4 linked regions of the Mus musculus genome follow. The protein of the gene in region 1 interacts with the protein of each later gene in a biochemical or structural test. Links are inferred from orthologs where the notes say so. Each region holds a gene or a part of one and is shown in the gene's direction. Other genes may lie near its edges.

Region 1 (4,982 bases):
TACTAAGGAAACAGGGCCAGTCGCTGCTCGGCTCTGTGTCTCCGCTTGTTTTGAAGATGAAGGGTCACACTGGCCCTGTGCTGTTTGTCTCGCTGCAGGTGAAGCTATTGGGATGGGCTTCCCGGTGAAGGTCCCCTACAGGAAGATCACCATCAACCCTGGCTGCGTGGTGGTCGATGGCATGCCCCCCGGGGTGTCCTTCAAAGCCCCCAGTTACCTGGAGATCAGCTCCATGAGGAGGATCTTAGACTCTGCGGAGTTTATCAAGTTCACTGTCATTAGGTGAGACGCTATCGCTTAGTCAGTAGGACAAGGCTGGAGGCCTCACGGCTAGGTCATATCCCAGAGTGCTGTTGTGTGGAGTCTGAACTGAAGCGTGTGGGCAGAGAGCAGGCAGAGACAGGTGGATCTCAGGGAGTTCCAGGATATCCAGAACTACACAGAGAAACCCCCACACCCCAAAAACATAGGTAACATTACATTGGCATGTGTACTATACATAGCACATACTACATGTGACTAATTACAAATAACTGATACATACATTGTGTATGATATGCATTAATAACAGAACAGGAGTCATTGTTACACAGTGTTACAGTCATTTCATGGACATCTTGTATGTCTCCTCCACAGGATAGGCCATACGTGGCATAGATTAGCAAGTTAGGCAAATGTTCATGTAAAACAAAAGCCTTACATTATACAATTTGTTTTTCTCTTTAGACCATTTCCAGGACTTGTGATTAATAACCGTGAGTACAGCTTTCTTTTGTTTGTTTGGTTTCTGGGGATCTGGGAGTGCATGTGAGTGTGTCTGTGGGTGTTGGGTGTGGTGGGGCCTGCAGGATAACACCATTTGTCACCCATTATGTCACCCGTTCTCAGCACCCTGCCTGCTTGTGAAATTAGCATTGCTTGTCTCTTAGTGAGGAAATGGTGACTCGGGTGGGCTGAGACCGTTTTAAAGGGCTCACTATAGGCCGGACTTGGAAAGCTGCTGCCATTGCAGCTCTGTTACCCTGACTCCATACACTAGAGCTCAGGGGACTGTAGGCCCCTAAACAGCATCAAAGTGCCAGGCACAGGGAGGGAAACGAGCAGTTCCAGTGCTTGGGAGGCGGAAGCAGGAGGATCAGGCTGATCAGCACTGTCTGCTGTAGACAGTCTAAGGCCAGCCTGGGCCACAAGCGACCCTATCCCCAAAAAGAAAGGGAGGGAGAGAGGGCTGGTGATGGACACCCAGCAAGCTGACTTCTGTCCCGGGGCTCACGTAATGATGGAAGGTGAGAACCGAGTCCAGAGTTGTCCCCTGGCCTTCAGGTGCACACCGTGGCACGCGTGCTCACACAGACTTCACACACTCTGTAATTAATTCTTTTGTTGAATTTTCCTTGCAAATTTCAGTTCATCTGTCTTTTTGAAAATTCAGGTCACTGTGGGTGACCATAGAGATCACTGTGGGTGGCCTAGAACTCAAAGACATTCCCCTGCCTCTGCCTCCTAAGTCCCACATTAAAGATGTGCCACCATGGCCAGCACTCCTGTTCTGTGTATAGTTTTCATTTCTGAAGAATATTATGTCCAAGCCCCTGCTTGTAGGTTCCTGTCTCTGTTGCTGAGTTTTATTCTTGTCCTTGTGCAGGACTCTGGTTCCCGTGTGTGCTGACCACTGAAAGCCATGGTTCTGGTGGCATCTAGCCAGGACCACTGCTGTCCCTTCCTTTGGTGTTCGTCTTTACCCTTTCTTAGCATGCGGGGTCCTGGGGTCCTCGGATCATTTCATGGTCAGTGGTTACAAGACAGCTTGTCTCCTCGGTTCTCTCCTTCCGTCGTATGGGGCCCAGTGACTGAACTGTCTGTCAGGTTCGCAGGCAGGCAGGCACCTTTACCTGCTAAGCCTGTCTGTCGTCCGCATGGTTGGATGTCACGTGTGTTAGTAAGCCGTCTAAACTGTGCCTTTCATTGCAGAGCTGGTTGATCAGAACGAGTCTGAAGGCCCTGTGATACAAGGTGAGAGGAGAGCGTGGGGTACATACTACTTACATGGTTGCCCCAAGCCCGTGGCTCCTGCTGTACCTGCTTATAGTCACTGCATACACTTAGCTTTGCAGAGACTTGAGCCGTGGGTCCCGAGTGGCAGTTGTAAGCCACAGACCTTGTAAACCCACGATCCCAGGTTATTCATGATATCTTGGTGCTCATGACCAGGGAGAAGTCTGCCTGTAAGTGTGTGCTTATGCGGGGTGTGCACATGCGTATGTGGAGGGCAGCAGCTGACGGGCTTGCACTAGAAAGATGGCTCATTGGTCCTGATCTTCCAGAGGACCCTGATTCGAGTCCCAGCACCCACGTAGCAGCCTTTTAGTTAAGTTAAACTGTCGTTTAACTCCGTCTCCAGGGCCTCCTAAGGCTCCAGACATGTGCACAGTACAGACACACATGCAGACAAAATAACCAAATAATTACAATAAAAAAGAAGTTGGCAGGCTGTTACTATCATTGGGTGTTCTCCTTCCTCTTCCTCCTCCTCTGCTTCAAGGCTCTTTAAATAATAACTTTTGAAAGCCATTCAATGACACTTGATATGTTTCTCTTTAGAATCAGCCGAGGCAAGCCAGTTGGAAGTCCCAGTAACAGAAGGTAAGAGCTGCGCTGTTGCCAGCGAACAGACTTAGTGACCGACACCTTGGGACAGTGTGACTGTGCTCACGGTGATGCTCTGTGTCTTTGTTCTTAGTGAGTTGATTGGAATTTTTTTTTTTAATATGTATGAGTGTTTTGCCTACTTATATGTGTATATAGTACCCAAGCCAGAAGAGGGCATCAGACCCCCAGAAATAAGAGTTACAGATGGTTGTGAACCTCTATGTGGGTGCTGAGAATTGAACTCATATTGGTCCTATGGAAGAGCAGCCAGTGCTCTTACTGCTGAGCCACCTCTCCAGCCCTAAATTGATAAGATTTCTACCATGAACACTGTCCAGTGAAGAAGGCAGACTTCCTCTCTGTTCTCCCCGTGTGGCTCTGACTAAACTCTAGATCCCTATAGCTTAGACAAGGCATGATGGTAAATACACCCAAAACAATATGGAATCTGTTACTTGGGAATCAGGCATGAGCTGGACATGGCTCAATAGAAGAACACTTGGCAGGCATTTGTAAGGCCCAGATCCCGTAACAAGAGCACTTTATGCAGAAGCCACATGGAACGGCTTCGTGCAGATCTTAGCAGGTTCATATGGCTAGTCTTACTGGCAAGCAGGTTTGCACCAGTGGTACAGCTCATTGTTACCCCTTTGTTTCTTCTGTAGAAATTAAAGAGACAGATGGGAGTTCACAGATCAAGCAGGAGCCAGACCCCACGTGGTAGACCGTGGCTCTCCAGGGTAAGAGCCTCGCTCTAGCTGCCCTTCATCCATGCCCACTTATAAGCTGATGTGCAGACACATCCCTTCTGCTCTGGCTGTGAGATGAGGCCACCCTCAGGGGACATAAGGCCCAAAGGTTTTTCTCACTCAAAGATGTAGCCAAGATGAGTGAGGTGGCAGAGATAGGTGGGTCTCTTGTAAGTTCCAGGCCAGCCAGGCTCCGTGGTGAGACCCTGTCTGTCTTGGGGTGGGGTAGGGTAATACAGAGGTAGTATTCCTTAAAGGGACATGTTTGTTTTGAGTCTGTATGCCAAGGTTGCCTCCTCTCTGGCTGACCTCTTTAGGCCGGTCACAAGCCCAGCCCCATCAGTTGCTGACTTGCCACCAAGAGGTGGGCTGCAGTGACCCGCAAGTGAGGAGACTGCAGTCTGCTGTGATGGGCTTTGCCTGGCAGCCTTGGTGATGTGCCTGACCGTGTCAGATCACAGGCTTAGGCCTTGCCGTCTTTCACAAGTGCACTTGGGCCTGCATGTCTGTCAGATGGAACAGGGTGTGTGACAGGAGGTTGTCATGCCCCTGCCATCTGACTCACCCACTGCCTGCGTGTTTGTTCTCTCTGCAGTTCGTCCAGTGTCCAGCGTGCGTGGTGGAGAAGAGCTTTGGGACCCGTTCCTGCCAGCTCTGTAATATACTTGTATAACAGAAATACCTTCTATACAAACCTTCTTTTCTACTTTTAGATAGAAATGTCTACTTTCTCAGCAGTTCTGTGAATTGAGCTACACAGCGTGATGAGATGCGCGTGCCTGGTGGCTTGGGAACGCACTAGAAGGGTCTTGCAGCAGTGCTGAAAGAGGCGGGAATGGCAGGGACGACTCGTAGGGTTTCTTATGCATCGGGCAGAGCCTTGGGCTGTGGTGCGTGTTCCCGTCAGTGAGATATTCCTACAGGGCATCTTGGCTTCCGCAGCAAAGGAAGTCCCTGTGCTAGTCAGTGCTTTAGTTTTTCTATTGAAGACCAGTTCCGTGGTCTTGCACTCGGCTGCCCCTCCTGCCAGGGGAGGGCTGCTGTCTGTGTGTGTGACTAAGCCTCTTCCCAAGCTCCATCACGATTCCTTTGTCCTCACTGCCATTCAGAGCAAAGCCGGCCAGCTCGCCTGACCGCCAGTGAGCAGCCAGTGCATCCGTGCAGTGCAGCTGGAGAGGCTAGCCTCAGAGCCTCGCTCCGGTTACTTTACAGCAAGTAGATTTCTGGGTGTGTCCTAAAGGTCAGAGGTCAGGTCTGCATGCTTGAGCAGGTGGAGGATTTGCCCCTCCCCAACTGGGACCCACAGTGGCCTCAGGGGCTCTGGGCCGCAGCTCTGGGTCTGGGTCGAGTCAGGCTGGGCTGTGTGTCTGCCTGGTTGGTTAGTCTCTAACCACCTGTCTGGCCTCTGCGCCAGGGTGGGGAGTGAGGACATTGGTGTCCCGCCCTATGTGGGGGCTCACAGACGATGATAAGGTAACAGCTCTCAGCAGTTAGGCACGTGAGGGCACGGTTCTCGGTAGTCACCACAATGTTCACAATGGGAAATTATATCACACGGTAGCAGAGATAGGCATTTTATGTGTT
Region 2 (6,268 bases), on another chromosome or scaffold:
TGGCTTGGGAATGTATAGTAGACAGCATGCTTTGGGAAAGGTTTTCTGAGAAGGTGAAATGGGAGACCTGGAGACTAAGGAGTGAGCCGTAAAAGGAGAACAGAGAATCCTACTCCAAGCAGTGTGAAGGGCCAGTGCAAAGCCCTAAGACCGAAGTAAAAAAGAATTACTGTCTTGACAAGAGACAGTACAGCCTATGAGGCCAGAACATAGGCAGGTGCTATAAGCTGGCCAGGCTGAGAGTGTGCAGAGCTATTAGACCCTGTCTTCCATGGGTGATAGAAAACCGTTGAAGGATCTTAAACAGGGAAGTGACAGGGTCCAATGAGTTTGAGAGTTACTGTTCTGACTGCTAAATGAAGAAAGGGTTGGTGTGGGAGTTGGGGTCAGGGTGGGTAGTGGGCAGCCAGTTAGGAAGCCAATCACATTATTTGGGCAGGGCATGTGTTGATGGAGAGAAGTACGAGGTATGAAGGTATGTCCTGAAGCTTAGAACAGACATTCTGGTGGCGACACCGATGGGAGTAGTTGGGTAGCAGGCCAGGTGTGGCGGAGAGTAGTAAGCAAGGCCGTGAGGGTGTGCTTTATTTTAAAATGTTCACTGAGACACAACACAGTAAAGTACGCTAGTATTTTTATTTGTTCATTTGTGTGTTTGTGTGTGTGTGTGTGTGTGTGTGTGTGTGTGTGTGTGTGTGTGTGTGTGTAGCATATAGCTCAGAGCCAGGTGGGGACAGGGTGACTAGCACACTCAGTAAAAGTGCTTGCTATACAGAATGAAGACTTGAGTTTGATCCCAGAACTCATGTAAAAACACTAGGCCCGGTGGCACCCATTTATGATCTGTAATCCCAGCCCTGGTGAAGCAGAGACCAGAAGATTCATAGGGCTTGGTAGCCAGCCAGCTTAGCCTACTTGGCAAGTGCCAGGTTAAAAAAAAAAAGGTGGCTAGTATCTTTAGGCCAACACATGAAAATGTCTTCTAGCCCTTGTATACATGTGTGAACATACATGCACACATCCTCAGACACACATGCACTGGCACACATGTGAAGACAAACCCGTTTATACAAGTAGTCACACACAAAGAATGCAACTTTGAGTTATACTACACAATATGACAGAGAAATATTGTTGGTCAAGTCTTTGTACAATATTTCCAGTCATGTCTGGGGTCACATGTCTTAGATTTACCTAGTCCTCTTGTTTCTAACAGGGAATGTGTTGAATATGTCAAGAGTTTCAATATCCCTCTCCTGGTACTGGGAGGTGGTGGCTACACTGTCCGAAATGTTGCCCGGTGTTGGTGAGTGTTCTGTTCTACTACTCTGTGGTTCACGACAGACTCCCTAAAATTGGAGGGGTGGTCCTTTCAGCCCACGCCATCAACCCAAACCCCTCTGCTTGCTGGTTTCAGGACATATGAAACATCTCTGCTGGTAGAAGAGGCCATTAGTGAGGAACTTCCCTATAGTGGTAAGATCCACTTCATGATGCCACCACAGGGGGACACCATTCTCACCAGTCCTCAGAATGACCTTGTTTGGAGGGAAATTGCACCTTCTGGTAGCTCTGCAGACTAAATCCCTGTGCTCAGAGCAGAGCAAATACTCTTACACATGGGGACCAGGCCTCGGAGAGGAGATCAGAAAGCCATGGGATTCACTCTGGTGTCTCAGCCATACTCTTGTTCATCCCCTCTCCCAATTGCTTCTCATCTCTAAGAATACTTCGAGTACTTTGCCCCAGATTTCACACTCCATCCAGATGTCAGCACCCGCATCGAGAATCAGAACTCACGCCAGGTTAGCAGCTTGGAGAGGCTGGACACAGCAATGGGGGGGGGGGTTCAGGAGAGGTCCAGGAGGGGGGAAGTGGAGAGAGCAAGAGAAAGAATTTCTGGGCTGTCACTGTCGATCTTATCGTGGGGTTGTTGGGGAGGGACAGTTGCCAACTGAGGATCTGACCTTGAAATACTACCTTAGATCAGGACGGTCAGGGACGAAGGTGGGTAGGATTTCCTGTACTATAGGAATCACCCCAACACCGCTGACTTTCTTTCTTCTAAACTAGTATCTGGACCAGATCCGCCAGACAATCTTTGAAAACTTGAAGATGCTGAACCATGCACCCAGTGTCCAGATTCATGATGTCCCGGCAGACCTCCTGACGTATGACAGGACTGACGAGGCCGACGCTGAAGAGAGAGGTCCCGAGGAGAACTACAGCAGGTCTGGGGCAGGGGCTGGAGGGCAGGTGCTTCCTTAGGCTTGCAGAGAAGGCTTCCAAGTGAGAAGGCACAAGTTCATCTGGCCCTGGCTGGTTTCCTTTAGACTGCGAGCCTTCTACTCTTTTTGACACTTTTAAGAACAAAACAACAATAATATGAAAATATTATAAACATCAAAATATGTTGTGTTCACGTAGTTCCAGAATTATTCCATGGAAGTAGCTGTTATTTATGGCTTGATTTATGTATTATTTGAATAGATAATTTTCTATAGATTATAAGAATACTACATGCACATGTGCATATCCAGAATTTTATTTATACAGCTTTTTTTTTTCTTGATTTGTTGCTGGTTTTTTTTTGGGGGGGGGGGTGACACATGGTTTCCTCTGTGTGGACCAAGCTGGTCTTTAAATCAGATACCCTCCTGCCTCGGGTTTCTAAATGCTGGGATTATAGGCATGGACTGCTTGCTCTACCCAGCTTGTTTATACATTTTTTTGTTAATCCGTGGGAGGATATTTTCTATATGTTGTTTGGAGTTACACTTGCCTGTGTCAGTGTGTGTAGATCAGTGTTTTCTCAGTTGTATAATTCCATTGTGTGGTGGTCACATGATTGCGAGGGTAATCAGTTACCACTTGTGGATATTTACCCCACTGCACCGTCCCCTCCCTTTCTTTTGTGGCTACAAAAATAGTGAAGACTGGCACTGAATCCCTCTATGTATGTATGTCTCTATGTATGTTTCTCTGTATGCTTGTTTGAGTGGGTCCAGTTTTCATAGCTGTTGCCATTAGGGCAAATGAGATATGCATGCAGTAGAACTTTTCATATTTGCTGCCAAATTATTTTCCAGAAAGAACTTAGTGGTTTACTTACATCTTTTTTTTTTTAAATAAAAAATCTTTTGTTTATTTTTAGATTCATTTATTTTATGTGCATGGTGTTTAACTTTGCATGTATTTATGTACATCATTATGTACTTGATAGGGTGTCAGATCTCCTGGAACTGGAGTCAAGGATGGTTGTGAGCTGCTCTTTGGATACTGGAAAGAGATCCCAGGTCCTCTGCTATGGCAGCAAGTGTACCTAACTGCTGAGCTGTCTCTCCATTTGCCAGCATTTTACTCTGTCCTGAGCAGTGAACCAGTAGACCACTGCCTACATTCTCTTTTATAGGGTCTCTACATTTGTTTAGTTCACTTTTCCAGATTTCTGAGCTGTATTGAGTGAGGTGTATGTGTGTGTGTGTGTGTAAATAATCTTTATCTTTCTTGGATCTATGTTGAAATATTTATAGCTAGAATGAAATAAGGACTGATTAGTATAGATCTTTTTGTTGTTAATCCTTGAAGAAATTTCTAGAAAATGATGAGAAAGGACAACAGAACCCAAAAGAGTCAAAAGAAATCAAGATGGAAAGAGATATATTTAGTAGGGACCAGATACATTTACAAGACTGAGACCACTCGAGTTGCTGTGAGCTTCTGTGCATGAGGTTGGAGCTGGCTCTGCTGCTGCTGTGGGTGACTTCTCAGTTCCTCCAGAGTCTATTCTGGGTCATAGAATTCTGGCCTCCATTTCTGTCCTCTGGACTTGGTCTTAATCCTTGGGACCTTCCAGTCCCCCTCTTTCATGGATACCTCCCCATTCCCTGGCGTGGGTGAGGAAGTATCTAAATATCTGGTTCAGGCTCTATCTAATCATCTTTTCTTTAGCAGTTGTCTACAAGCCTCTAAAACCTGACTTCTAGAAACTGATTGCCATTGTCTTAGTTGGTTCAGCAACACCTGTTTTTAAGTTCTCCTTTTGTCTGGGTTTGGCTTTTTCTTCTATAGTTGTGTGTTCACATCTGGCTCTACTCTCTGCATAACCCAAGAGATGGGTCTTATCCTCAGATGACGAGAGGAAGAACCCAGGGCTCAGAGAGAGCAAGTAACTTTCTTAGGTTCTGTAGTTACCCTGAGAGACCGACTTCTCACTTTTTACCCTGGGCTCTTAGAGGTGATAGAGATGGCCTTGTTTGCCTGCCTTAGTCTCTTGCTCCTCTTCTGTGACTTTATAATGGCCTGTTTTAGAAAAGGTTTTCAAAGAGATGGAAACCAGTATTGAGTACTTTCTGAGCCCTGTGTTGCTGTCACTTCCCTCCCCTGGTAGTTTAATGACATGTCAGTCTTCCACTTGTGCATCCCTTCCTGCCAGTCTTCTACTCATACCTCATGTTGGTCTTCTGCTCATACCTTCCGGCCAGTCTTGCAGCCTTTCCTTTCTGTGATGGTTTGTATATGCTCGGCCCAAGGAGTGGCACTATTAGAAGGTGTGGCCCTGTTGGAGTAGGTGTGTCACTGGGTGTGGGCTATAAGACCCTCATTCTAGCTTCCTGGAAGTCAGTATTCTGCTAGCAGCCTTCAGATGAAGAAGTAGAAGGCTCCTACTCGGTTCCTCCTGCACCATGCCTGCCTGGATGCTGCCATGTTCCCACCTTGATGATAATGGACTGAATCTCTGAACCTGTAAGCCAGCCCCAGTTAAATGTTGTCCTCATAAGAGTTGCCTTGGTCATGGTGTCTGTTCACAGCGGTAAAACCCTAACTAAGACACTCTTCCCTGCATCAGTCTCAGCTTACACCTTTCCTTCTCCTCGTACTTAGAAGCAACAGTTTGAACATGCCCTGCATACAGATCTGCATACAGACTCGTCTTCTGAGACTACTTTTGTCTGCCCACATGCATCCCAGCATTGCTGGCCTCCTTGTCATTCTCGAATGGCTCAGTTTCCTTGGACCTTGTGACTTCTGTACTTGGTTTTCTTGGGGCTTGGTGGGACTTTCCTGAGATCTTTGCCTGGCCAGCCTCTTCACAGAATTTAGGTCTTTCATTGTCAGAACGGTCTCTCATTTTGTAGGTCCATTGTTACCCTCTTGTTCACACCAGACTCAGTTTTCTCATGTAGAACACTCCACCATTTGAAGTTATTGTATTCATTCATGAGCTTTGTTATTGCTGGTCTCATGATGTAAGCTTTGAGAGATTGTATGGAAATCTAGTCTAGCTGATTCTCTGCTGTTTTGGTAAGGCCTACGGCAGTGCCTGGCACACAGGAGTCTCCATTTATTGAGTACATGGATTGCAGTAAGTCCCTGCCAGCAAGAGGAGAGGAACTGGCTTTGGAGAAGACTCCCATAGAAAAGTGGCTCTGAGGAGGGTGCTGGGAGGAGTCTGGAACTTGAAGAGTGGGTTTCTAATCTCTTGTTCCTTGTTTTACAGGCCAGAAGCACCCAATGAGTTCTATGATGGCGACCATGACAACGACAAGGAAAGTGATGTGGAGATTTAGAGCAGCATGGATGCTGTGTCCCCAAGAGTTCCTTGTCACCTCTGTGGTGGGAAGGAAAGTATGGTTTCCCCAGGTCTGAACTGGGTACCCCCAGGGTGTTTACTAACTCTGGTGAAGGGTTTGGAAACCATATGTGGTTCTAGAATTAACTCCCCTTTCCCTCAAACTCTCACGGCCTGATGATTGTCCCTCTCAGGGATGAGACATGGACAGGTCTCTGGAACGTTATGGGTAATGAGCCCCAGCAACTGTCCTCAGCCCCTCTTCCCCTCATTTGTTCCTTCTGTCCTTCCAACACAGAGACTGTTAGAGATGAAAGTTTGGACGGTACTAAAGTCACCTCTGACTTCCTTCTGGGTTCCCCTACTACAGTTCTTGCTTCCATGCAAGGTGAACCTGAGGGGAGGAAGGCGTGGCTCTCTGAAACCTTAACTGCAGATGAAGTACAGTGGCAAGGAGGAGAGGGTGTGAAGCTCTAACTGGCTTTATGTCCATTTTACTGTTTTGGATCTAATAAACCAATTGGTTTTTTTTTTTTTTTTGTACCTTTCTGGGATTTTAATTCTTGCTAGTTACCGATGTATGATGTGAAAAGGAAACAGATGATGATGTGTATAATAAAATTGTTACCATTCACTCAGTACTTTATTAGTTAGGCCATGTGTGTATTCACCATGGATTAGTTTCCTCAAATGGGG
Region 3 (3,500 bases), on another chromosome or scaffold:
CACTCTTTTCTTGCCCACTTAGCTCCTGGAGGCATCAGTTGTTGCCTCTGTTTCTTTCAGCTAGGTGGAGACTCAAGTTGTCCTATTCTTCCTGCCAGAAAGACCAAAACCAATGCAAACTTGTTGGCTGTTTCTTCTGAGTTCTCTTAGTAGTTCAGTGAAGTGGAGTTGTCCACATGAACGAAATTATTTGCATGCTTGGTTTAGGACTGTGTATCAGGTTGCTCTCCATATGATGGAAATGCAGCAAAATTTCTCAGGATCAGTCAAATGTGTGGCCTCACCCTCATAATCCCAGCCCTTTCAAGATTGAAACAGGAGGATTCCCATGAGTTTGAGGACAGCCTGAGCTATATCCTGAGTTCAGCCTGGAGTACAGAATAAGACTCCCTCCTCCTCGGGCTGGAGAGTTGGCTTAATGGTTAAGAGCACCGACTGCTCTTCCAGAGGCCCTGAGTTCAATTCCCAGCAAACACATGGTGGCTCACAACCATCTGTAATGGGATTGGATGCCCTCTTCTGGCATGTGTGAAGACAGCAACAGTGTACTCACATACATAAAATAAATAAATAAATAAATATTTTAAATAAAAGACCTTCGTTCCCTCTCTTTAAAAAGGCAAGGGAGCTAGCTTTGCTGGTAAAGTGCCTATAGAATTGAAAAAAAACAAAACAAAACAAAACAAAAAACAGAACACCAAGTTCAGATCTCTAGTACCAATATAAAAGCCAGTATAACAATGCATATCTGTAATCCCAGCACTAGGGCACTGGGGAGAGACAGGCAGATCCCTGGAGCTTATTGGCCAGCCTGGCCCAATCAGTGAGCTCTAGGTTCAGTGACGCTGTCTCTAGAGACAAAGTAGAGAGTCATTAAAAAAGACACCTGACATCAACCTCTGGCCTCTATATGCACACACCATACATGTGCATATGCAACTCCATGCTGATGGGCAGAAACTATGTCTTTAACTAAGGTCAAGGATGCAGTCTCACATATCTATTGTACTATAGGCAGCTCGAAACTGTTTGGTAAACGATCAAGGAGTTGTGAAAGTATCTGACTTTGGCCTGTCTAGGTGAGTGTGCCTTTTTCATCTCCCCAGTTTTTATTTATTTTGGCAAAGGGGTTGTGCTATGTGGTCCATGCTGGCCTAACTCATGAGTACTGTTATCTTGCCTTGGCTATCCACGACTGGGATTCCAGGCACGAGACATCACCCCAGCTTTACCCTTGCCTTCATTGCTGGATGTCTCTTTTCCTTTCCTCTTTTTCCTCTGTACCCTTCCCCCCTCTCCATTCTTCTTCTATTTCCCCAGTATCTTATCTTGATCTGCTAAACCCACTGACTTTCCCCCATTACTCCTTCCTTGGTCTAACCTTTATTGGCTCCTGCAGGCTGCAAGAAAGTGGGGAAGAGCCAAAACTGATGGCCCAGGCCTGGAATCCCATCAACTCTAGAGGCTCAAACAGTACCATGATTGAAAATTCAAGACCAGCCTAGGCAATTTAGCGAGACACTGTCTCGATTGTTCCTCAAAAGTACAAAAAATGTTAGAAGTATTTATCATCAGTAGCCTAGCGTGTGCAAGGCCCTAGGTTCAACCACGTAGAAGGTAAATACTTTTCTAAACAGAAAGAAAACAGAGGTTTTGTTAAAAGTAACATTTGTAAAAGGCATTGACTAGCCAGCAGAGACTTTGAGAAAGTAAGTGTGCAGTTGGACAGCCCTTATGGTGTGTGCTGAGAAGACGGGCACACATCAAGCCATCTAAATCTTAATGGTAACAAGTCTTGAATCGCTTGCAGGTATGTCCTTGATGATGAGTACACCAGCTCTGTAGGCTCCAAGTTTCCAGTCCGGTGGTCTCCACCAGAAGTGCTTATGTATAGCAAGTTCAGCAGCAAATCTGACATCTGGGCTTTTGGTAAGTAGATAAGAACATACAGGTGAGGATGCCAATATGGCTTAGTGGGTAAACTGCTTCTCATGCAGCGCTGGCAACCCCAGTTCAATCCTCAGAACCCACAGAAAAGCTGGAATCAATGGAGAAGAATACAGGCATCTGTAATCTCACTATGCCCCCACCAGCAGATAGGAGGTAGAGACCAGTGAATCAAAAGTCGTGGACCTGCTAGCCTGTAGAATGTACCAGAAAAACAGCAAGGCAGACCGTTGTCTCAAACAAGGTGAAAGGTGAAGAGCAACACTTGAGGCTGTTGTCATCTCACTTCCACTGTATGCTGTGGTGCAAGTGCTGGAGCACACACGCGCACACACATGCGCACGCACGCATGCACGCGCACACATGCACAGTGGGGTGGAGGGAGAGGAGAAGAGAGAATATAGCTCAAAGAAGAACATACAGGAAAGTTTAAACTTGTATTCCTCTTGTCATTCATCTGATCCTTGGGTGTTTCTTATGTGTCAGGGACCACAGGGGTTTGTGGGGACAAACACAACCAACTGGACATAATCTCTATCTTCTTAGAAATTACAATCTACCCCCAGGAAACAAAACGTTCATTCTTCAACAGCTTCTGAATACTGATTATGTACTAGGCACTCTGTCAGAGCCTGAAGCTACCAAGACAAACAAGACACAGTCTGTCTCTTCTACGGTAACTAATAATGGGCTAGCGTAGTGCAGCTCTGCTAGCCGTCGGGACAGCCAGGACCGTGGCAGGAGCCTGGACAAATGCAAAAGCCATAGAGGGGAGAAACCAGCATATTCTAATCTTTTTTTTTTTTTTTTTTTTTTTGGTTTTTTCGAGACAGGGTTTCTCTGTATAGCCCTGGCTGTCCTGGAACTCACTCTGTAGACCAGGCTGGCCTCGAACTCAGAAATCCGCCTGCCTCTGCCTCCCCGAGTGCTGGGACTAAAGGCGTGCGCCACCACGCCCGGCTTCAGCATATTCTAATCTTAATGGTTCATCGAGAAGGATTAGGCCCCAAGGATCCCAAGAAAGCTGAGTGTACGTCCCCTTTATATCTCCTAGGGGTTTTAATGTGGGAGATCTACTCCCTGGGGAAGATGCCGTATGAGAGATTTACTAACAGTGAGACAGCAGAACACATTGCTCAAGGCTTACGTCTCTACAGGCCTCATCTGGCATCAGAGAGGGTATATACCATCATGTACAGCTGCTGGCACGAGGTAAGGTTCCCTCTTACACTATTCCCTTGAACTCAGTTTCATATTGAGCTGCCCAGGCCCTGCTCCCCACGGCCACATGTCAGCTGGGCACTGCCTTACAGCTAGCTACACATGCTTTCTCATTCTGGGCTGCACCCCAATCCTCTGATGGCCTTTTCATACCCACCCTGATGAAGTTGTAGTATTTTGGAAATACGGATCATGTTTTACTATTCTAAAAATGCTTTTCTGGGGCTGGGAAATGTAGCTTAATTGTAGGGTAGAGTGCTTACCTAGCATCAAGTACGCCTTTGTTTGGCCTCCAGCACTTCCTAAGCCAGATGTGTGGTGCAGGTGTCTGA
Region 4 (7,053 bases), on another chromosome or scaffold:
TGACCTTAAGTCAAGAGAAGACCAAGGACACAGTGAAGACAGTGGAAGTCCAGAAGAGGGTGATGATAGGAAGGAAGGGGTTTTCAGCAAGGAACAAAAAAGTATAGACGTAGAAACTGAAGTCATGAGAGGTGTTGGTGACCACTTAGAAGAGGGGGCCCTCTCTGAAGGGCCAGGTGTCGAGTTACTGAGGGTTGACAGTACAGAAGAAATCAATGAACAGACCTCTGAGATGAAACAAGCCCCGCTACAGCCATCTGAACCAGAGGGCATGGAGGCTGAGGGACAGCTTAATCCTGAGACATGTGACCTGTATTCTTGTCCCTGTGGGTCAGCTGGTGGTGTGGGCATGCGTCTGGCTTCCACCCTAGTTCAGGTCCGACAGGTCCGCTCTGTCCCTGTAGTGCCCCCCAAACCACAGTTTGCCAAGATGCCCAGTGCAATGTGTAGCAAGATCCATGTAGCACCTGCAAGCCCATGTCCAAGGCCTGGTAGGCTTGATGGGACTCCTGGAGAAAAAGCTTGGGGTTCTCGAGCTTCCTGGAGGAATGGGGGCAGTCTTTCTTTTGATGCTGCTGTGGCCCTGGCCCGGGAACGCCAGAGGACCGAGTCTCAGGGAGTTCTGCGGACCCAGACCTGTACTGGAGGTGGGGATTATAGTCTCAGCTCCAGAACCCCTCCTTGTAGCATGATCCTTGCCCATTCTTCCCGGCCCCTTAGCTGTTTGGAACGCCCACCTGAAGGCACAGAGGGGTCTGAGCCCAGGAGTCGGCTTAGTCTGCCCCCTAGAGAGCTTCACCCTGTTGTCCCTCTTGTGGCCCCTCAGCGCCAGACATATGCTTTTGAAACACAGACTAATCATGGGAAAGATGAAGGGGTATGATTAGGACAGGACAAGAGGAACCAAGAAATCATCACCAATCTCTGGAGCACTTGCCTAGCTGTCTTTGCTGCCTCGGCAGCTGAGATGTCTAATTCCATAGGCTTGGGTCCTCCAGCTTCTTGTTTTGACCATGAGAGGTACAGACTTGGTGGATTTACTTATGTTTGTGTTAGACACAAAGCCACTTATGTCTTAGCAGAGTCTTAAGAAACATAGAACAATCTTGTTTCCAGGGAGTTAACAAAAACATAGGGTAGGTAAAAGCTTTTTTTTTTCTTAAATTTAAATACAGTGGGGGAATTTCAGCCAAACTTTTGCCCTATTCTGAGCTGTGAATATCTCTTCACAGAAGCCTACTGTAGATGTGGGAGATATAGGACCAGATATAGAATAGCTCACCCCTGATTTGTTCCTAGATTTTTGGCTGTCTTCTGACCCTCTTTAGTTTCAGAGTAGGAGAAACATCCAAGAAGCTCTTTAAAGTCCTCAGTGTTTGCTGAAGGAAATGGGTGGCATCCTCTACCTTCAATTATTTTGCAGAAGAGGTCCTCCCATTTTAGGAAAAGGGAATGTTGGGCTGAAGAGATAGCTCAGAGGTTAAGAGCACCTACTGTTCTTCCAGAGGTCCTGAGTTCAATTCCTAGCAATCACATGATGGCTCACAACCATCTGTAACGGAATTTGATGCCTTCTACGGGTGAGTCTGAAGAGAGCAATGGTGTACTCATTCATATACATAAAATAAATAAAGAAAGAAAAGAAAAAGGAAAAGAAAAGTAGAGGGAATGTCACTCAATTTGGCTCTAGCACTGTCTCTGCACAGGCTGGGGCTACAGGCCACCATTTAGCAATGGTGGGTATTTGATAATAAAAGCTGAATTTTTTTTTTAACATTTAAACAGTGTATGTACTTTGTCTTATTAAAGTTTTGGGTGAATGGTATCACATTCCAAAGTTGCCAAAATGTATATATCTTGTTTTTTCTTATTTAGATATTCTTCCTCAGTTGTCATGGGAAACTGTAGCTAGAAAGTAGAACTGGGTTCATGGTGGTCAAGAAATGAGGAAGAGAAACCTGTATTTACATAATGTTCATCTAATGCCAGGAATTGGGCCAGATTTGTGTGCATAAAAACTTTGCTCTTGAATTTATTTAATCCACTTGATGTGAAGTTGGTATTGGTATTTCCGTTTTACAAAGAAATTGAGCTGTAGTTAAGTAAAAATGCCCATCAAAAACCTCAGAGTTAAGAAGTGTTAGTTTCTAGGTGTGGTGGCTGTCTTTAATCCTAGCACTTGGGAGTGGAGAGATCTATGTGTATTCGAGTCCAGCATAGTTTATGTAGGACTACATAGAAATACCCTATCGCAAAAAAAAAAAAAAAAAAAAAAAAGTGTCAGTTCAGAGTCTGAATGGCTTCAGAATCTGAATTCTAGCTATTGCTATTATACTTCACTATTCCAAAATCACTCTGGGTACACCCAGAATGAAGAAAATGGTAATCAAACTCGTCCCCACACGTATTTAAGAGCCTGAGGAAAAGCTATGAGGTCTTTGGAGTATTGCTGACGTTAATACAAAGGTATATACCCAGATCCACGTACACTCAGAAATGTCCCAAAGTCCACTTGGAACCCCCTCAAAGTGATGCCCTGATCCAAGATGGCGTCCCACATTGCCCTTATGAAAGATGGCGCCTAAGATTGCCGTTCCACCCTCTACTTCCTTTTACTGGAAGTAAAAGGGCTCCGCCTACCACAAGGATGGAAGTACAATTTAGTCGGGTTTTTTTTTTCCTGGTTCTTACTGAAAACAAAGGCCTCTAGCGAGGTCCCCAAGGATACCGTCTGTTTCCCTTCAGAGCCTGCGACCACTCACGTACCCACATCCGCTCTAGCGGGCATCAGATTTGAAGCGAGCGGAAGTGTGGCAGCTCGGGGGGCCGTCCGTCGGCTGGGCGGGTCGAGGGCACACTTCCGCCCCTCACCAACATGGCCGCAGGCTGGGACTGCGCATGAGCAGCTGTCTATGGAGAGACCTAGATCCAAAGACGGAGAAGGCTGCCGGGGGAAATCGGCGACTGAAGCGGCCTGGCCCGGTGAGTGCGTCGGAGCCGGCCGGAGTCCGGACGCCGGTGGATCGGCATGGCGGGGCACCTTTGCTTTGGCTGGCGTTTCCCAGGCCAGGCCACGCCTGGGCACGGAGCCTTTGTTTTGGGGGAGGGGGCCGTGCCCGGCTCTTTCTCTCCTGCTTTGTGGGCCGAGCTCGCTCCCCGCCCCGGTGTGCACACGTCCCAGCCGCCTGCGGTGGGTATCCAGCTTCGAGCCGCAGGCCCGGGAAGGTCCCCGGCGTCCTTTCCCCGTCTCTCCTCCGCGGAGCAGCTGGGGCGCAGGCGAGCTGGGCTGGGACCGGCGGGGTCACCGCGCGGGCTGCGGGGCTCGCGCCTGCCGGGTACTCAGGTCCCCAAGCGCCTACTACTAGTCGGTGGGCCTGCAGGGAGACGCGTCGTTCTCGGGCAAGGTCCGGGCGCTTGAAGTCTTTGGGAACTTGATCTGGTTTTTGTGTGTGGGTGGTGGTGGGGGGTGTTTTGTTTTTTAAATTTCTGCCTTTGCGTCTGTGCTTGGTGAGGACGTTTGCTGGGCTCTCCTTTTGAGCATGCAAAACCACAAAATCCTAGGCTGATTTCCGTATCACGTATTATTAATGCTCAGGATGCTTCCGGATATACAACCAAGGTTTGAGTAAGGAGCCTACCGCCGTTTCTGGGTAGCCTCAGAAGTTGCGCTGACAGCTGTTGGCTATACGGTTGTCTCGTGCGCCTTGCAGTCTCTTTCATAGCCTCCTCCTGCAGGCCGTGCCAGGAGCTTCAGGAGGAGCTCTTCCTCCTGTTTGAGGATGGAGACCCCCTAGGTGGTCCGTACATCCGGACGCTGCCTCCCTTTGCAGCCTTACTTTCTACGGACAGTTTCACTTTCAGTTCCCTTTTGTTATTGTTGTTAACGTTCTTCTTTGCACACGGTCTTTCCGAGGCGCATTATCCGCTAAACTAAGGTTTTTCTTTGATTAGAAAGGTTTGGAAGATCTTGCGGGTAGAGTGTTTAAAAAAAATCTTGTCCTTTCTTGTTGAGATTATTTTATTGCTTTGTCCTATGCAGCTGTTTCTTTCTGGTGGCATCTGTCTGTACAGTTCTTTGTTTTTTCCCGTTCTCTGGCTGGTTGTCAAAAGTCCTAAGGCAGGAACATTGTAGATGGATTCCTCCCCCTTTGTCTTTTCTCCTGCAGAACCCTGAGCCTGGAGGTTTTCTTTCCCCCCCTCCTCCTGAGGCTTAGTTGATTTGGAGTTGTCATGGCAACATTTTAGCAACTATGTTGCTCTACAGGAAGCCTTGCTGGATAAAATAAAGAAGCCTTGAACATGATGCACTTGGGCACTGGTGTTTGTAACAGATGCTGTAAATCTGGACTCTCTCAAAACAAGAGCCCCGACAGCGGAGTAGTATCCAAGAGCCAAACCTGGGTTTTATGCTTAGTGATGGTTTCCCAATAGCAAAAAAGGTTTCAGTTTTCCTCTTCTTAGATTTGAGGACTGGAATTTGTTTTTTGTTATTCTTATTTGATTTTGAAACAGGACCTCTCTATACATAACCTTGGCTGTCCTGGAACTCACTCTGTAGACCAAGCTGGCATTGAACTCAGAGATCTGCCTGCCTCTGCCTTCTTAGTGCTGGGATCAAAGGCTGGCATCACCACCTCCCAGCTTCAGATTTCTTTTCGTACAGTTTGTGTTGGAGAAGCTGGAAGAAGAATCAGGGAGTGTGTGAGGGAGTGTGTGGGTGGGGGGGTTATTAGTTACTGGTTTTGATAGTGGTGGTCTAAACTTTGCTCTAGCTTTTCCTGTGAAGCTGCTGACATAGAGTATAATAGCTTTAGTAACAATCCACAATAGCCTCAGCCATGCACCCCAGACATTGTTTCACAGTCTACTCCTCCCCCCAGGAGTTGGAATGAAAATGGAGGAGCAGCTGGGTGGTGGCGACCCATGCCTTTAATCCTAGCACTAGATAGGCAGAAGCAGGCAGGATCTCTGAGAGTTCAGAGGCCAGCCTGGCCTACAGAGTGAGTTCCAGGACGGCCAGGGCTACAAGAGAAACCCTGTCTCAGAAAGAGAGAAGCGGGGTTGGGGGGGAAGGAAGGAAGAGAGAAAAGTTTTGGTGTGTGTGTGTGCACATGCATGTGTGTGGTGGGCTGGACGCTGTGATAAACAGCTTTCACAAGTTAGTTTTTGCCTCTTTGAGGGGAGGAGGTTGTTTTTTTTGTTTTGTTTTTTGAGATATGGATTCTCTAGGTTGCCCTGGTCATCCTGGAACTCTGTAGCCATGGCTGGCCTTGAACTCAGAGATCCACGTGCCTGGCTCCCAAGTGCTTGAATCAGGCATTGCCACCACGCCCTGCCTGCTGAGCCCTCCTAGCTTTTCTTTTGGTCAGAGGAGAGCCGTAGGGGGTCAGTTGTTGTCTTTCCACGTTGCTGGAGACAGTGGCTGGCGCCCCGCTTGTAGAGATTCTCTCATCTCCAGCTCTCCATCAGGCGCCCTGTGATTACACATGCTCTCAATGCTGCATTCCTCTCTTCTATAGGTTTTAGGACTCGGGTGTTACCTTCATTCCGAGTGAGACTTCCATTGCGAGTGCTGTTTGAGCCAATCTCCCAGTTTTGTTTTATTTTATTTTGAGACAAGTTCTTGTAGCCCAGCCTAGCGTGACACTAGCTTTGCACCCCAGGATGGCCTTGAACTCCTAAGTATTGGTATTACGGGCATGAGCAAGCACACTTGGTCCTTTTTCTCCTCAAACTCGCACCGTTCCTGTCTCCTTCCCCTGAGTGTTAGGCTCCCAGGAGTGAGCCTCCATGTCCCGTGAAGAGTTGCTTCTTCAGTCACTGCAGACTAGCCCTTGCCATCAGAATTGGGGGAGTTGACTGTCCTTTGCGGATGCTTGGTTTATCTTCCTGGCTGTGTCTTCTTGGAACCTAGGTTCTAGAACCTGGAAAGCTGTTCAGTTGCCTGGCCTCACTGCAAACTCTGTGGTTTCCACCAGGACTTAGCATTCAGGCCTTTGAGTTGGGAGATACAAAGTCCTCCGAAAAAAGACCGGCGCCTCGGATGAGCCCCCTCACAGAGAGATGAAGGGGTAAGTGAAGAGGGATGTCTGGGCAGAGGAGGGATGGCCTGGAGAATGCAGAATTAATGCAGAATGACTAAGAACATTGGATTCGGGAGATCTGGGTTCAGGTACCCAGCTCCAACACTTACCAGCTCTGTGATTTAGTTTCTCTATCTATAAAACTGTGGTGCTAGTCACTGTTATTAGCATCAAGATGGTGTGCTGGGGTGGGGGGTGGGGTGGATGCCTTTAATCTCAGCACTCAGGAGGCAGAGGCAGTCTTATCTCTGAATCCAAGGTTAGCCTGCTCCACACAACAAGTTCCAGGACTGCCAGAGCTACCCAGAAAAAAACTCTTTCTTTCTTCTTCTTTTTTTTTTAAGATGTAGAAATGGTCCTTTTTTTGTTTTGTTTGTTTGCTTGTTTATTATATGTAAGTACACTGTAGCTGTCTTCAGACACTTCAGAAGAGGGCATCAGATTTCGTTACAGATAGTTGTGAGCCACCATATGTTTGATGGCATTTGAACTCGGGACCTTTGGAAGAGCAGTCAGCGCTCTTAACCACTGAGCCATCTCGCCAGCCCTAACACTTTCTTGAAAAACAAAATAAAACCAACCAACCAACAAACAAAAAAAGTGCTTATAGCTTGGTGTCTATGTACATGGTAGATACTTAGTTATTACTTTTTAAATTTATTTTGTTTTATTTTTTTGAGACAAAATAATATTTACATAGTCCTGGGTATATCGTAGTCCTGGCTGCCCTGGAGCTCACTCTGTAGACCAGGCTGGCTTCAAACTCACAGAGATCCACCTGCCTGTCTCCTGAGTGCCAGGTTTAAAGGAATGTGCCACCATGAGCCAGCAGTAATACTGTCATGGTCTAACCTAGCCTAACATCTGTTGTGGATGCCAGTGAGTTTGGGAACCATGTTACGAGGTCAGTGAATGTCTCACATCTTCCATTTGTTTCTTGTTTTTTTGTTTCACCACCAATAGGCAGCAG

What was found.
Region 2: the proteins of Gtf2i (region 1) and Hdac3 form a complex in vitro, tested with the Homo sapiens proteins (2 studies listed by BioGRID). The link is inferred for Mus musculus from reciprocal best matches to the Homo sapiens genes GTF2I and HDAC3.
Region 3: the proteins of Gtf2i (region 1) and Btk form a complex in vitro, tested with the Homo sapiens proteins (4 studies listed by BioGRID and IntAct, with this or other methods). The link is inferred for Mus musculus from reciprocal best matches to the Homo sapiens genes GTF2I and BTK.
Region 4: the proteins of Gtf2i (region 1) and Usf1 form a complex in vitro, tested with the Homo sapiens proteins (2 studies listed by BioGRID). The link is inferred for Mus musculus from reciprocal best matches to the Homo sapiens genes GTF2I and USF1.

What each region holds. Positions count from the first base shown.
Region 1 is NC_000071.6:134,237,904-134,242,885, reverse strand, and holds part of Gtf2i (general transcription factor II-I), read left to right. Parts: intron 1-98; coding exon 99-282; intron 283-726; coding exon 727-755; intron 756-1,971; coding exon 1,972-2,013; intron 2,014-2,601; coding exon 2,602-2,643; intron 2,644-3,314; coding exon 3,315-3,373; 3' UTR 3,374-3,389; intron 3,390-3,993; coding exon of another isoform or gene 3,994-4,058; 3' UTR 4,059-4,982. UniProt on the Homo sapiens protein: Interacts with the basal transcription machinery by coordinating the formation of a multiprotein complex at the C-FOS promoter, and linking specific signal responsive activator complexes.
Region 2 is NC_000084.6:37,936,916-37,943,183, reverse strand, and holds the end of Hdac3 (histone deacetylase 3), read left to right. Parts: intron 1-1,216; coding exon 1,217-1,306; intron 1,307-1,417; coding exon 1,418-1,476; intron 1,477-1,725; coding exon 1,726-1,805; intron 1,806-2,073; coding exon 2,074-2,231; intron 2,232-5,500; coding exon 5,501-5,570; 3' UTR 5,571-6,213; downstream 6,214-6,268. UniProt on the Homo sapiens protein: Histone deacetylase that catalyzes the deacetylation of lysine residues on the N-terminal part of the core histones (H2A, H2B, H3 and H4), and some other non-histone substrates.
Region 3 is NC_000086.7:134,545,141-134,548,640, reverse strand, and holds part of Btk (tyrosine-protein kinase BTK), read left to right. Parts: intron 1-1,014; coding exon 1,015-1,079; intron 1,080-1,810; coding exon 1,811-1,929; intron 1,930-3,001; coding exon 3,002-3,159; intron 3,160-3,500. UniProt on the Homo sapiens protein: Non-receptor tyrosine kinase indispensable for B lymphocyte development, differentiation and signaling. Binding of antigen to the B-cell antigen receptor (BCR) triggers signaling that ultimately leads to B-cell activation.
Region 4 is NC_000067.6:171,408,459-171,415,511, forward strand, and holds the start of Usf1 (upstream stimulatory factor 1), read left to right. Parts: upstream 1-2,854; 5' UTR 2,855-2,982; intron 2,983-2,984; exon of another isoform or gene 2,985-3,404; intron 3,405-5,914; exon of another isoform or gene 5,915-5,978; 5' UTR 5,979-6,063; coding exon 6,064-6,071; intron 6,072-7,046; coding exon 7,047-7,053. Other genes in the region: Arhgap30 (rho GTPase-activating protein 30), read left to right, coding at 1-883.